3 linked regions of the Sus scrofa genome follow. The protein of the gene in region 2 interacts with the protein of the main gene of each other region in a pairwise test. Links are inferred from orthologs where the notes say so. Each region holds a gene or a part of one and is shown on either strand. Other genes may lie near its edges.

Evidence for each region. The genes of interacting proteins can lie anywhere in the genome.
Region 1: the proteins of UBE2K (region 2) and TRIM31 interact in binary tests that used the Homo sapiens proteins (3 or more experiments, as listed by UniProt). The link is inferred for Sus scrofa from reciprocal best matches to the Homo sapiens genes UBE2K and TRIM31.
Region 3: the proteins of UBE2K (region 2) and SIAH1 interact in binary tests that used the Homo sapiens proteins (3 or more experiments, as listed by UniProt). The link is inferred for Sus scrofa from reciprocal best matches to the Homo sapiens genes UBE2K and SIAH1.

Annotation. Positions count from the first base shown.
Region 1 is NC_010449.5:22,666,692-22,672,261, forward strand, and holds part of TRIM31 (E3 ubiquitin-protein ligase TRIM31), read right to left. Parts: intron 5,296-5,570; coding exon 5,244-5,295; intron 5,242-5,243; coding exon of another isoform or gene 5,231-5,241; intron 4,153-5,230; coding exon 4,091-4,152; intron 3,533-4,090; coding exon 3,353-3,532; intron 2,263-3,352; coding exon 1,736-2,262; 3' UTR 1-1,735.
Region 2 is NC_010450.4:30,955,475-30,960,664, reverse strand, and holds the end of UBE2K (ubiquitin-conjugating enzyme E2 K), read right to left. Parts: intron 2,095-5,190; coding exon 1,966-2,094; intron 1,426-1,965; coding exon 1,351-1,425; downstream 1-1,350. UniProt on the Homo sapiens protein: Accepts ubiquitin from the E1 complex and catalyzes its covalent attachment to other proteins. In vitro, in the presence or in the absence of BRCA1-BARD1 E3 ubiquitin-protein ligase complex, catalyzes the synthesis of 'Lys-48'-linked polyubiquitin chains.
Region 3 is NC_010448.4:36,362,530-36,367,533, reverse strand, and holds the end of SIAH1 (E3 ubiquitin-protein ligase SIAH1), read right to left. Parts: intron 4,692-5,004; exon of another isoform or gene 4,629-4,691; coding exon of another isoform or gene 4,544-4,628; intron 3,769-4,543; coding exon 2,918-3,768; 3' UTR 1,750-2,917; downstream 1-1,749. UniProt on the Homo sapiens protein: E3 ubiquitin-protein ligase that mediates ubiquitination and subsequent proteasomal degradation of target proteins.

The DNA.
Region 1 (5,570 bases), on a different chromosome or scaffold from region 2:
TATGTTTTTCTCTTCTTTTATGTCATAGACATAAGAGAAAAATCTAATATTTTAGGTTGAAAATCTTGGTTCCTGATAATATTGGTGTATTTGCTTCTTTTCTTTATCCTACTATGTATGTGTATATAAGTACTTGTACATAAAATACATAATAGATTTGGAATAACCACAAAAATATTATTATCACCAAGATGATAACTTAAATATTTAAGTTCTATTTGCAGTTCTTTTTGTCATTAAGCTATATCCAACTGAGGATATACAGCTAAATTATTGCATTTTAAAGTCTCCTAAAATAAATTTTCTCTAAGGAGTTCCCAGCTACAGAGTATTTAAGCTACCAACTACATATACCATTTCATTTTTTTGTCTTAATTTAATTTTGTTTGATAACAATATAAAAATATTTACATGATTCCAAAGCCAAATATACAAAACAAGGTACATGTAGAAAAGATTAGGAGTTCCCTTCACAGCTCAGCAGTTAAAGAACCTGGCTAGGATCCATGAGGATGTGGATTTGATCCCTGGCCTTCTCAGTGGGTTAAGGATCCAGCGTTGCCTTGAGCTGTGGCAGATGCGGCTCACATCCGCTCTGATTAGACCGCTAGCCTGGGAACTTACAGGGGTGTGCCCCCCCCTCGAAAAAAGCAAAAAAAGATAAAAAAATAAAAGACTCTCATTCCTTCCACCCGGTTTTCCTTTCTCCCCTTGGGTAACTGTTTTTGTTAGGTTTTGGTTTATCCTCCTACTTAAAAAACAAGTATAGGCAAAAAAGGTATATGTACATTTCCCTTTTCTTAGGTAAAATGTAGCATACTGTGGGCACTGCTGTCTACCTTGCTTTTTTCACTTATGTCCTAGACATCATCCTGTAATAATACATAGAGAGTCTTCATTTGCAAAGTGGGTAGAAGGCAAGAGGGCAGGCCAGGCTGAACTGCCTGGGGAGACAATATCCATGGTCCAGCATGATATATGCCAGGAGTGGGATTGCAGGGTCATTTGGTAGTTTTATAGTTTGTTTCTTTAAGGAACCTCCATACTGCTATTCATAGTAGATGCACCAGTTTACATTCCCACCAACAGTGTAAAGGGTCCCCTTTTCTCCAGCATTTATTGTTTGTAGACTTTTTGATGATGGCCACTCTGACTGGTGTGAGGTGGTACCTCATTGTAGCTTTGACTTGCATTTCTCTAATAATTAGTGATGTCAAGCATCTTTCCGTGGTTTTTGGCCATCGGCATCCCGTTTTTCAGATCCCACGATAATGCCCAGATGGGCCAAGCCCATACACACACCCAGGAGCTTCTGGGAATGAAGTGGAGGAGGAGACAGCTGCCCCAAAGTCAGTTGTCCCGTCCCCTGTATCTGCATCTCAACCAGGATGCAGCTGGATGCTTTCTCTGTGCAGTTTTCAACCATCCCCTAGTGACTTACATTTGAGTTGTTTGCAGTCTTGTCCTGTTACAAAAGTGCTACAATAAATAGTCTTGTGTGGAGTTTTGTCGTGTATTTGAAACTTTCTTTTCAACCTAGGCATGTTGGGGGGAAAGGGGGACTGAAAGACCAAAGGAAAATTTAAAGCGGGATCAGAGGCAACAGGCCTGGATTAGGGAGCATGAAGTATGCAAAGGGCTCCTGGAAGTCTAGCTTCAACCCTACATACCAGCTACAGCGCATCCCAAAGCGAGGGGGTAACGGGGAGGAGACCGAGAGGAAGGCAAAAGAACTCTAGGGACTCAGGGTGATCTGGGTGCCCGGAAAAAGAAGCCGGAAAAAGGGTAAGACCTGCCCTGGAAAGGAGGTGTGGAAGGTGTAGATGCGGCTGCTTGTGATGGAGTCGTAGAAGACGACTTCTCCGCCCTCGTGATTCACGTGGATCCCCACTTTCCTGGGACGGACTGAGAGTTCCTCCCGGGTGCCACCCTCGGTGAGCGCCTGGCAGTCGAAACCCACAATGCGCAGCACCCAGAAGCCAGTCAAGGGTTCGATCATCAGGGGGCCCCTCCGCGTTACCAGCTCCGAGGCCACGCCCACCAAGCAGCCCCCGCCTTCAGGCCCTTCAAGCTCCGCCTCCCAGGTCTGGCAGCCCGAGGAGAGGCCTGGCAAGCCCAGAACACAGCGGAATGGATGGAAGCGAGCAGGGTCAGTGGGTTCAGCACAGCGACTTTGAGGAACAGGGTCCAGCGTCACTGTCTTCAGATCCTGGGAAATGATGAGGTCCGGATGAGCCGAGGCCGCATCCAGGGTCACTGGGGCTGCGGGAAGATGAGGAGGGTGGTAGCCTCTTTCCGGGGTGCTAGCCCCAGGTCAAGTCCTCCAGACCCCTACCTCTTAGTTTCCCCTGAGGATGACTTTCTCTTCAAAGTCAAGGTCCTCTTTGTCCCCAGAGAAGTCCTAGCCCCTTCCCCCTCCTTGAAGTTAATCCTTAAATTTCATCATGTGCTGCTCTGTGGGTGCTCTCCACTGCTGGTCACAAGGCATCATTTCTACACCCAAAGCAAGACTATTTCCTCTTCCTTCCCCATCTCCTGTGGTCCTCATATCCAGAACAAGATCTGAACTTATATAAAAGATGTCAAGGCTCAGACTGTGCTGGAGTAATTTTCTAAAGTGCAGCCCCTCAAAGACAGGGATGAATGGAGGGGTGGGGTACGGAGGGAGAAAGTTAGCTCTCATCTCACCACACAGGCACAATTTTCATTGAATTTGGACATTGAGTTATCATTGAGTTATAGGTTATCAAGGCCAGAAGTCCTCCATCCACCCCCCACCCCCCCGCAATGGCTTGAATAGCCGTGGTTCCAGACTTTGCCACGGACTTAGGAACGAGAGACTCATGGTATCTCCTGATTTGCTATCTAATCTCACACCCTTGTACTGTAATATTACTTAGTTTTCCCTTGCTGGAAGGAGGGTGGGGATTGGGAGGGATGGAGGATGTAGGAATGTGGGGAAGAGGAGAAAGAGTGTCTAGGTACATGGGGATGAGTAAGGTAGATTGTGACCTAAGCAGTTCTTACTGGTCTCTTAGATTCCAATCTGACTGAACTGATGCCTAGGTAAATAATTTAAATTAAAAAAAAAAAAAAAAAAAAAGACCTGAGCAATCAACTGTAGTGACACTCTTCATCCACAAGGGGCACCAGAGCCAAAGCAATAAGCAGAAGCCACGCGCTGACGCTACCCGATTGCCCTTTTTCTGCTCAAGTACACCCGCTCCCTTCTCCAAGTGTCACCACCATCACCCGTCTCTGTTCTCAGTAGCCCGGGGCCTCTCTCCCACCTTCCACTCCCTCAGCCCCACTCCACGCAGTCAGGGACTCTTGATTGCTCTCAGCCACTCACTCAGCGCCGCCTTGAGCTCTTCAGTCCACGCAGCTCCAGGGCTTCCCGGGTCTTCAGAGCTGTCTTCGTTTGAATAGAAAACAAATGAGGCAATAGAGGCCCGGCTTCGGCTCCGGAACAGGTTGGGCAGTGAAGGTGATAGTTTGAGCTTTGGCGGTAGTGGTTTAGCGTTTCTGTCATCTTTAAGGAGAAGGAGAGGAGAAAAAAAGAGGTCGATGGGAGCAAGGCAGCAATCATTGTCCATGGCCTGAAGCCACGGACTAACAGAAATTTTTGAGCTTGTCTTACCTCAATGTTTAAGGGTACAGCTTGTTAAAATCCCTCTGCATATAAACTGCCTTTACTTATTAAGTTCATTTTAGTTATCTTTTCCCTCTCTTTAATTGCATACTCTCCAAGCTTCATGTAGCCTATGTAATATATCACGAGCATTAACCAGCGATAGATCAAACCTCTGACATACGGGTCACTTTTTTGGTCTTTTTAAGGCCACTCCCAAGGCATATATGGAGGTTCTCAGACTAGGGGTCAAATCAGAGCTACAGCTGCTGGCCTGCACCACAGCCACCCAACACCAACGTGGGATCCAAGCCGAAGTTGCAACCTATGCCACAGCTCACAGCAACACTGGATCCTTAACCCACCGGGCAAGGTCAGAGATCGAACCTGCATCCTCTTGGATGCTAGTCAGATTCGTTTCTACTGAGCCACGTTGGGAACTCCTGACATATGGGTTACTTTGGTAGTGGGGGCTTAAGTTGCTTTTTAGGAACTTGGTGTCAGCTCTTGTCCTGTTCCGGCTGGCTAAGGCAGGTTGGGACCAGCAGTGCTAAAACTGGGCTTGTGCAGGAGTCTGATGAACAACTTTTCGCATCAGAGGTTCAAAATGATACCCTCAGATTATGCTAAGCAGCTTCATTTTTGAAAGTGTATCCACAAAGAAGACTGTAACCTGGATCCACCTGCCCAAACAGAGGGGAAGGGGACTCCGCCTTTCCCATGCCTCAGGCCACCTTGTTTCATTATCTCAGAAGAAAATTGAGGCTCTTTCCTTCAAGGAGTGGGTCTCCCACCTCCTCCCTTGGCGGCTTTGTGAATAAACCTTCTCTGCTTCAAACCTCAGCATCTCAGTATTTGGCTTGCTGCGCATCAGGCAAACAAACCTGGTTTGGTAACAAAAGTACACCCGAACAAGTTAGGGGTAAACTGATTGAATGGCACAGTATTTCCTGGGGCGGGGGTGTCCCACTCTGGGAAGGGGGAGGGGAGATGGATGAAATGCCTGCTATCTCCACCCCCATATGCCCATGCTGTCCTAGCTCTTAGCATCTGAAACCTTCAAGAACATTCAACTCCACTGCCCTTCTTCCTCTCCCAACTCCCAGGCCCTCTTAACAGTCTCTCTAAGTCCCTCTTTTCTTTTTATTTCTTTTTAGGGCCGCATCTGCGGCATTTGGGGTCGAATCAGAGCTGCCTACATCACAGCCACAGCAATGCCAGATCCAAGCCTAATCTGAGACCTACACCACAGCTCACAGCAATGCTGGATCCCCTGATCGAGGCCAGGGATTGAATCCGCATCCTCATGGATACTAGTCAGTTTGTTACCCGCTGAACCACAATGGGAACTCCCTCTAAACCTCTTTTTCTGCTCTGTCCCTATACCCCTCCAACCCAGGCTGGAACTGAGAGCAGCTCTTCATCCCCACCTAACTCCAGTCAGGGAGGGTGATGCTGTGTGTTGGGAAGTCCTTGTACAGTTGCTCACCATCCTTCCTATGCGGTGTCAGTTCAGTGCATTCCTATCTGTGCGTTTGGACTCCAGCTTTCCTGACTACACCACCTGAAGCCACCAGTGCTCAGAGGCTGGGCTCCTACCTGAAGGGCTTACTCAGGCTCCAAAGTTTCCATCGGTGTAGGATTGCTTTTCTCTAACAGGTACCCTAGGAATGGGGAGAGAAAACCAACTTTGGTCTCGATAACCAGAAACTTGCAAAATCCAAAACCAAACACCTGCCGCCATCAATAAGAACACGCATCAGTGGTTCTCAGTGGAGACTGCCCCCTTCCCCCCCCCCGTCCCCACCCATGGGGAAGTGTGGGAACCATTCAGATGGTCCTAGTAATGGCAGAGGGTGGGAGTGGGGGGGGCGATTCCCTACTGGCCTAGAGTGTTTCCGGGGGCCTGGACGGGACACACTCCACAGCACACCAGGCA
Region 2 (5,190 bases):
TATTTCGCATTGGTCCTGAATATTTAGTAACTGTATTTCTATGTTTAGAACTGTCTACACAAATCCATTTCACCCTTCATAAAATGGTCACATTAGTGTTTGAGCTTGCAAAACTAATAATTTTCAAACTTTTGAACTTAGAATGAAATGTAACTTTAATACGTATAGAAAGTCTGACTATGTACAAGAGAAGGTAAAGTTTTCAATTCTCAATATTATCAGAAACATCATAAAGAAAGCTAGATTTATAACACACTTCTATTCCTATGTGCATTTGAAGTATGTACAGTAAAACACCCAACACAGCTTTCATGTGTCAAATAGGGGGAAATGCAAGCAAGGGTGACTTTTAAAGTAACCAATAAAGCAATCTCCATAAAGCCAAAATTAGGCTTAAAAAAACTGCAAACAGGTGATTTCATCCTTGCAAGTTACCAAAGAAAAATTTCATCAGTTTAAAAATAGAAAGATGTTAAATTCACTGAAAAACTAAGTTGTGTTCTTTCATTAAATCTGGAAATACTGCAACATCGAGTACTTACTGTTTTTGTAAAAGAAAGAAAACTGGCAGCTCCATTTTTACATTATTATTTACTTACATAGGAAAGTTTTAAGAGTGAAGATCTGTGACAGAACATTCCAAATGGACATCCTAAAAATGGAGCAAGGGATACTATCCCTCTGCATATTTCCCCACCAAATAAAGAAAAATTTACTATTAGAATATTAGCTGTGGGTGGTTAAGAAGGAAAAAATAGATATGGTGTCCCAGTCTATTGACAAGGACAAAAAGGCTCTGAATAGGTCACCATCTTCAATTCTGGATAAAACGCATATTTAAGAATTCTCAAATGCTTAAAATGGTGGTCTTTTCAGCTACCCATCCTAAGAAGTCAAGTACAAGCATGCAAGTAAATTCACAGGCACAGAGGATCCATGTTAAAAAACAGTTAAGGTAGCTGTGATGCAACACCAACAATTTGAATGGCCCTGACACACTCAAAATATTATCTTAATTATTCAATGAAATCCTGAAGCAAATTCTTGCTTAGTCTTGGTACACTGCTAAACACTAAAGTAGCATGTTTTTTCCATGGTTTTAGCTTAGCTCAAATAATTTTTACACTATTAAGTAAGAAAAAAAGTATTTCCCCTTTTTAAATTTACACAGACGTTTAATTAGCTTTATTTACAGAGCATGAAATTTTTTTTTCAGTCTCCAATGGTGCCTAGATAACATCATTAGGCAAGAATGCCAGTTTAAAAGATATCTATGCAGAATCCTAAAAATAACAGATATTGATGCTCCTCAAGAAGGGGCAAGCTTGACTATATCAGCAGCTCTATGTCTCAGTTACTCAGAAGCAATTCTGTTGCAGTCTCTACATCCCATGATTTTGAAGACAAGGCCACTATTACCGCATTCTGTAGAAAGGAAAAGGGGACAAAAAAAAAAAAAAATCAAATTTCAAGAAAATACTTTTAAAGTACTGCATCACTCACTGTCTTTCGATTGAGAAATCACACTTGTTTTTTTCATTTTTAAGTTGCCTTGTACTTACAGTGCATAAAAACCTTCTAAAATCAATGACAGGAATGAGCAAAAGGAAAAGAAACGTCACTACTTTTATTAACAGAAAGTTAGTTTATCAAAATTAGATTTAGAGGTTTTTTCTTTTTAAAGAGGTGCACCCAAGTCATATGGAAGTTCTCAGGCTATGGGTCGAATAGGAGCTACAGCTGCTGGCCTACACCACAGCCACAGCAATGCTGGATCCTTAGCCCACTGAGTGAGGCCAGGGATTAAAACTGCACCTTCATGGATACTAGTTGGATTTGTTTCCACCGCGCCACAATGGAAACTCCAGATTATTTTTGAGACACTTTTTTTGTCAGCCAAGGATTTGCAGCAATAAGTTAAAATTAAGGAATGTATAAAAATTAACATGCGTTTATGGTACTTACCCTATCAAAGCCCATAGCACATAAGTTTTCTATTTTTTTGGTGTATTCTGGACTAGAAACTGGTGCTCCAGCATACACATGTGCCCAAAGTCGAGCTGTTTGTTTGAACATTTCAGGATTTTGTTTGTACTACATGAGAAAAAAAAATTGATTGACATGATAATACAGTTATAATATTAAATATATAGTAGCTCATCTCTTACGCCTAAAAACCTGATTTTTCAAAATAAAATGTAAATTAATAGACATTTAAAATATGAGTGATTCATGTTCCATTGCAAATAAACTGTCACTCAAGAAAAGACTGATCTGAAACTGTGATTCACAAGTTGCATCAGTGGAAGAAAAACAAAGACAATTTTTGTCCAATTTCAACAAAGGAGCAGAAAACTAATACTTAAATGGAGTAATTAGAGATGTCTCCGATCACTTTGTGCTGGCAAACATACAACTAACCAGAATTACTAGCTTCTAAAATTACGTGGAATTAACTAATAAATGTGACCAACTTTTGTTTTAATCACAGTTCAGGCTAGGACAGAACTAGGCTTTGCTGTTTGTTGTACAGTGACTCAAGAAAATCTCATATGCAAAATCCTAACTTATAGCACATGTTTTGAGATGTTTATGAACTCATCATAGAGTACTTTTTAAAAGCTAAGACTTATTATATGCATTGGAAAGAGGTAAATTTATTCTCAAATATTCTGGGACCACCATTTCTTAATAAAGCAAAGTATAAATTTAAAATAACTGTTCAATTCACTTTAATAGTTCTTTTTCAGGAGTTCCCGTCGTGGCGCAGTGGTTAACGAATCCGACTAGGAACCATGAGGTTGCGGGTTCGGTCCCTGCCCTTGCTCAGTGGGTTAACGATCCAGCGTTGCCTTGAGCTGTGGTGTAGGTTGCAGATGTGTCTCGGATCCCGCGTTGCTGTGGTTCTGGCGTAGGCTGGTGGCTCCAGCTCCGATTCAACCCCTAGCCTGGGAACCTCCATATGCCGCGGGAGCGGCCCAAGAAATAGCAACAACAACAACAACAAAAAGACCAAAAAAAAAAAAAAAAGTTCTTTTTCAGATGTTTTATATGCACTGAATATTATTATATATTAAAAATTAAAATATTTTATATTATTATATAAAATATTATTATATATTAAAATGATAAATCCAGTCTCTACCATTATTAAAAAAGAAATAAGTCAAATTATTGAATACAGCTAGGAAAAAACTTTGAGTCGAACCCCAACCTGCGAAGCTCAGAACTTAACAAGAAAATGAAGCTAGGGCTGAAGTCATTCTTCCATCAAAAAATGAATGAATAACATGTTAAACTGTAATTCTAAGCACTCAAAAACAAGTAATAGCAGAACAGATGAACAAAGATATACATAAAACAGAGAGTGAACAGCTTTTCAAAGGAAAGGAAGAAGTTTCTAAGAGGAAAGCTCTCCTCAGGCAGAGGAAACACGGCAGATCGGGTGAAATGACATGTAGGGATGAACACCATCTTGAACAGCATGAGTTTCAGGTACAAGAAAAATTCAGGAGGTGAAACTGGGTTTACAGATAATTTAAATCATGGAGGAACTCTTCAAACTAAACAATTTAGACTTACCAAGTAGGTAACAGTAGAGCTACTAATAGGTTTTTAGTAATAAAGAGAAATAAGATTTACACTTTATAAAGCTAACTGCTGTTAGTATAGAAGATGAAGGAAAGAAGAGGCTGAGGTAGGGAACTCCATCAGAGCAAATGAGAAATTTTTTTTTTTCTTTTTAGGGCCGCACCCACAGCATATCGAAGTTCCCAGGACAGGAGTCAAATCGGAGCCACAACTGCTAACCTACACCACCACCACAGCAATGCCAGATCCAAGCCACACCCACAAGCTTGGGGCAACACTGGTTCCTGAACCTACAGAATAAAGCCAGGGACTCAACCTGCATCCTCATGGGTACTAGTTAGGTTCTTAACCTGCTAAGCCACAATGGGAACTCCTTTAAAACATGTGAACTAAAGAAATCAGAGTAGTAGTATGACAGATACTGGAATACAAGAGAAAAGAAACTGAGAAGTACTCCAAGTCTATGACTTGGACATATAACTAAACTGATTATACTACATAAGGATGGACACGTTTATAGAGTTTAAGACTCTCCACTGAGGGAGTTCCCATCGTGGCTTCAGTGGTTAACAAATCTGACTAGGAACCATGAGGTTGTGGGTTCCATCCCTGGCCTCCTTCAGTGGGTTAAGGATCCGGCATTGCCATGAGCTGTGGTGTAGGCCACAGATGCGGCTTGGATCCTGCGTTGCTGTGGCTCTGGCGTAGGTCAGTGGCTACAGCTCCGATTAGACCCCTAGCCTGGGCACCTCCATATGCTGCGGGAGCAGCCCTAGAAAAGGCAAAAAGACAAAAAAATTCTAAAAAATTAGGAAAAAAAAAAGATTCTCCATTCAGTTTTAGTAATGTTATATACTAAGGTATCCATGGAACATTTATATAGAGCTATTCAGTTTCAAACATGCTCTTGGGCTCAGGAGAGAGGTCAAGCTTGAACATTACATCAACATAGAGGTAGGGGGTAACATCAATATGGATGTGATCATCCAAGTAAGAGTACATAGTGGAAACTAAAAGAAGCAATATAAGAACAGGGAATGCATATTTATTTATTTATTTTTTGGTCTTTTTTTGTTGTTGTTGTTATTGTTGTTGTTGTTGTTGTTGCTATTTCTTGGGCCGCTCCCGCGGCATATGGAGGTTCCCAGGCTAGGGGTTGAATCGGAGCTGGAGCCACCGGCCTACGCCAGAGCCACAGCAACGCGGGATCCAAGACGCGTCTGCAACCTACACCACAGCTCACGGCAACGCCGGATAGGTAACCCACTGAGCAAGGGCAGGGACTAAACCTGCAACCTCATGGTTCCTAGTCGGATTCGTTAACCACTGCGCCACGACGGGAACTCCGGGAATGCATATTTAAAAGGGAAAAGAAATCATTGTAGGAACTAAGAGGGAAAAATCCCAACTATAAAGACAGTAAGAGAAGAAGGTAGTAGTAGCATTTCAGAATGCAAGATAATATTTCTAGATTAAAAACAAAAATAAAACAAGATTCAATAAATCCTAATGGCTTAGAATATGAGTTGATAAACTTTCTTTTTTTGTTTGTTTTTGTCTTTTTGCCTTTCCCAGGGCCGCTCCCGCAGCATGTGGAGG
Region 3 (5,004 bases), on a different chromosome or scaffold from region 2:
AAATTTAGTATCTTAATTGGCAGAACACAAGGTTACAATGAAAGGGGAAATCCTTCACAGTGCTACCGTAAGTTTCCACTGAAACCTCTCCAGAAATTATGGAAAAAGTATCAAGACCTTAAATAAAAAAGAATCCTAAGAATATAACCAGAAAACATTCAGACATGTTCACAGGTTGTTTACCATTAGTCAAAAAAATTTACCTGGGAGTTCCTGTCGTGGCTCAGTGGAAACCGGAATCTGAGTGGCATCCACGAGGATGCAGGTTCAATCCCTGGACTCACTCAGTGGGTTAAGGAGCTGGCACTGCCGTGAGCTGTGGTGTGAGTCGGTTCAGATCTGGCATGGCTGTGGCTGTGGTGTAGGCCAGCAGTTGTAGCTCTGATTTGACCCCTATCCTGAGAACCTCCATATGCCACGGGTACAGCCCTAAAAAAGACAAAAAAAAAAAAATTAACTGGACAAATCGAACAAAGCAAATATCCAATATTGGGAAACTGGCTACAATTATAGTCAATCCTCAAAGTTATCCAAAATGATACTTTTCCAAAATTATTAAAGTGGTGAAATGCTTAGATGATCATGTTATGTGTGGGAGTGTAAGGGAGTTAAATAATCACATGATCCCACATTCTATGATTTCAAAATAAATGTGTATCAACACGTGAGTACACATAAAGGACTAGAAAAATGAAAATGTTCATAGTAATCTCTGAGTAAGATTACCAACTATTCTGTGTGCCAGAGTCTATATACTGAACATACATAGTGCTGAACACATACTGAATACCCTACACTTTTAACCAAACATTTTGTATTTTAAAAATGGTATACCTCCACAAAAAATATTCAGTATATTAAATGAGGAAAAACTGCTTTTCTAAAAAACACGTGTTAACAGCAATAGACCTGGACATATACTGGTGGTTGACCTGTTCCTTTCACCACAAAAATAGCCATGCAAACACAAATTATAACCAATTCCAAAAATAATGCCTGCATTAAGGAAAAGAAAAGAAACTAACAAACTTCTTTCCTGAAAATGGTTAACAGAAGTAAACCGTGTTATCCAGAATTGGTAGCAGGGTAAGGGGGAAGTCCAAATTAGTTTTAACTGACTTTCTATGTTTAGGGTACCCATAAAAACCACACGAAATAAAATGATCTCTGGCCAGTCAGAAGGCAATTTCAGAGTCTTACTAGGTGCTTCAGGGTAACGAGCAATAGTTAACTCTTTGGTGCTAGTTACAGGTATAATAATGGCAGCTAACATTTGCTGGGTGCTTATTACATGCAGAGCACTCTTCTAGGTAACTTGCATCCACCCCCAATGAACCCTGAGCAGTAGCTACCATAATCAACCCCATTCTATACACTAGGCAACTGGAGCCCAAGTGAGGTCTAGTTAGCATAAGCACATAGCTCCCTGGAAGGCTGGCTGCAGAGCCCAGGCACACAACCACTACAGCATGAAATAATTTTTTTCTTGGTGTTGTTAAAGGGGGAAAAAGTGATAGCAATTTAACTAACCAGCCTCCTAACTGAGTTCTGAGAATCAAAATGTAAGCAAGGGGAAGGAAAAAAATAAGACTCCATGTGGTACAGAGGCCATATACCCTTTGTTTTGGCTGGACTTTAAAACAGATCTCTTATCTACCAAACTTCAAAATACAGCACATTGCTTTGAACAGGAAAATAACTTTGGATTTTAATCAAACTCTAATAGAGCTAAAAGCAGACACATAAGAGTTTTTTAATTTGCCAGATATTCTTTTAATGAGAATTATAAAAGACCAAAAACATTTTTTTTTGCAAACTGCCTTTTTTTTAAAACAAATGATTTGCTTTTAATTACAAATACTGTGTAAGACGATGCCTTCTTTTGCAAAACCAATAAATACAAGAACGAATTTTAAACATATGTGATTTGTCCAAGATATTTGGGGGGGAGGGGGTGAGCCTGATTTTTCTTCCAGTATTTAAAAAAATCAGTATTCCCTAACCTTTCAAAGAGTAGTTTGAAGGTATGACTCAACTGGAGAAAAAGAGAGAAAAACCATCTTACAGTTGCTTTAAATAGCTTCTGATAATTCTTCAGGTGTCACCTTTCCTTTCTGGAGCTCATATCTTCACAAAATGGTTGAATTTAAAATATTTCTAATGAACTGATTAATGGGGGAAAATATGTATTGAACACATATGTATGTATAAACTTTACCATAAACAATTATGCATATCAAAAAGACACTAACTTTAAAAAGGTACCAAAAAAAAGTGAGGAAAAACCTGAATTACAGAAAAGAAAGTCAAATTTATTTAATGAAAAACTAGAATTAATAAAAATTAGCAAATACACACACAAAAATATACACACACAGCAGCACTATGTATTGACTCACATAGGGGAAAAGCAGTGGTCCAAGACCACTCAACATGGCTTGTCAGTTAAAGGAAAAAAAAAAAAAAAAAAAAAACTCACAGACACACTCATTCTCTCTCTCTCTCTCTCTCTCTCTCTCTCTCTCTCTCTCTCTCACACACACACATACGCTCGCGCATGCGCGCGCAAAAAAAAAAAAACACAACTCAGTATTTTCCAACAGTACACTCAATCTACAACAAACACAAATTCCCAGAATTATTTTACAATGCTTCCTTTCTTAATACAAAAGATGCCCATCTTGGGTGTATATATATATATTTTTTCAGTGGTTTACTGTTGACTTATTTTTAAATATATTAGTGTTACTACATGCAACTGTTTCCTGTATTTAACAGCCTTTCCTTTTATTTACCTTCATGTGTTTGGCCTCCACCTACCAAAAGTTTCAGCTTGGTAGGCAGATGGGTGCCTTATTCTCTGTGAAACTGAATGCAACGGTTTTAAACACTGGCCAGAAGATGTTTGATTGCCATTTCAACACATGGAAATAGTTACATTGATGCCTAAATTGCCATTTTCTGCAAAAAGCTGTGCAATGCTGGTGTCAAAGACTAAGCAGTCACTATTCATAATGGCTGTTGCAATTCCCTCATGAATAGATCGAGGAGTGGCTTCCCAAGTCAATCGCCGCCTATGACCATTTAGCTCAAGTCGATAAGCAAAATTTTCAGCTTGCTTGCGTGTTCCTATCAGCTGTACAATTGCAAAGAATTGCTGGTGACCATCGTATTTTTCCTGTTTCTCCAAAACTAACATGAAGTGAAAGCCAAAACAGGACTGCATCATCACCCAGTCAACAGCACCAGGAAGATTAATGTCTGTAGCAAGGAAAACTATATCCTCTCCCTGTAGGGTTGTAATGGACTTATGCTGATGCATCAGATGCGGCATTACAGCATCCAAAGAGCCTTGCCATTTACAGGAAGCACCAGGGCACGGACAGGAATAAGGCCTAAACTCACAGAGCTCTTCATGGTCTGCTTTTTCTGTGTGCGGCAGAGTTATTTCACATCCAGAAGAGGCATATTTACAAGGGAAAAGTACTGAATTGGCCACTTTCTCCATAGCCAAGTTGCGAATGGATCCCAACGGGCCCCGGCAAGTTGGACAACATGTGAGCTTTGGGCGACAGTTGCTACAAACAAGATGGCCACTCTGACACTGAAGAATGGGTGGTAACACATAGTCAAAGCAGACCGGACACTCAAAAAGACTCGCCAAGTCATTGTTGGACGCGGTTGTGCCAGTCAGCGCAGGCACCCTCTGGGACGGTGTACACTTTGAGGTTCCAGTAGGTAATGCTGTTGCAGTCTGACGGCTCATTTCTGTAATAAAAAAATGTAAAAATAAAAGGAGGCAGGAGAAAAACAATTACAACTTGTATATAAATACTGTTTACGTGCCTGCAATACTTTAGCGTTCATGCAAAATTTACTGTGAGCAAGAGAATACAGGGAAATAAAGAAGGCTTTTAAAAAAAAAACATAAATTGACACAAATACGTGAGTTGTACTCTTCTCAAAAGGTTCCAGAGCACATTTAGAATTCCTTTTCTCTAAAAAATGTTAAAGGGAGTTCCCGTCGTGGCGCAGTGGTTGACGAATCCGACTAGGAACCATGAGGTCGCGGGTTCGGTCCCTGCCCTTGCTCAGTGGGTTAATGATCCGGCGTTGCCGTGAGCTGTGGTGTAGGTTGCAGACGCGGCTCGGATCCCGCGTTGCTGTGGCTCTGGTGTAGGCCGGTGGCTACAGCTCCGATTCAACCCCTGGCCTGGGAACCTCCATATGCCGCGGGAGCGGCCCAAGAAATAGCAACAACAACAACAACAGACAAAAAGACAAAAAAATAAAAAAAAATAAAAAAAAAAAATGTTAAAAATCATACTTGGATGGACTACGTGGAATAAATGCTAAAATAGAAACTGGACCATAAACAAGAAGGAGCTTAAGTGCAATAAAATCAGTTTTGACTGGACTTTCTCCCCCACCTCCCCTACTCATTCTGAGTCAGCTGTTACATGTGCTCCAGGGAGTTACATGTGATCCAAAGGATCACCAGGGTACTGACTTTGATTAATTCCTCCTAATGATGAACGGTTACCTGCTCTAGGAGTAATTTGGGGAATGAAAGGGGCGACAAGGGGAAGGGTCTGCTGCCATCCCACCATCCACCTCCTCTTCATCATCCATCTTCATGGAAAGTTAACACCAGCTAGGAATTAATCTTGTTTCCTACTGATCCATGCCCCCTTCAAAAGTGAGAAAGTAGAAGAGAAATGGAGGGCCATCCTCTCATAAAAGTTCTGAGTCCAGTATTTAGACACAGTAAATCATTCTACTTCCATTCTACAATATAAACCAGTATAATTTGCAAAGGTGAAGGAGAGTCAAGAAAATAAAGATCAAAAGCACCAGAGAGACTCACACAACAGTGGAGGTGAGGGATAGAGTCAACAGGTAAAGAATGCCTCGTACCCTAAAGTTCACCAGTGTTGCTGAAGCATTCATCAGCACACCAATAAACACTATTTATGAAATAAATGCCATCTGGAAGAAATGATC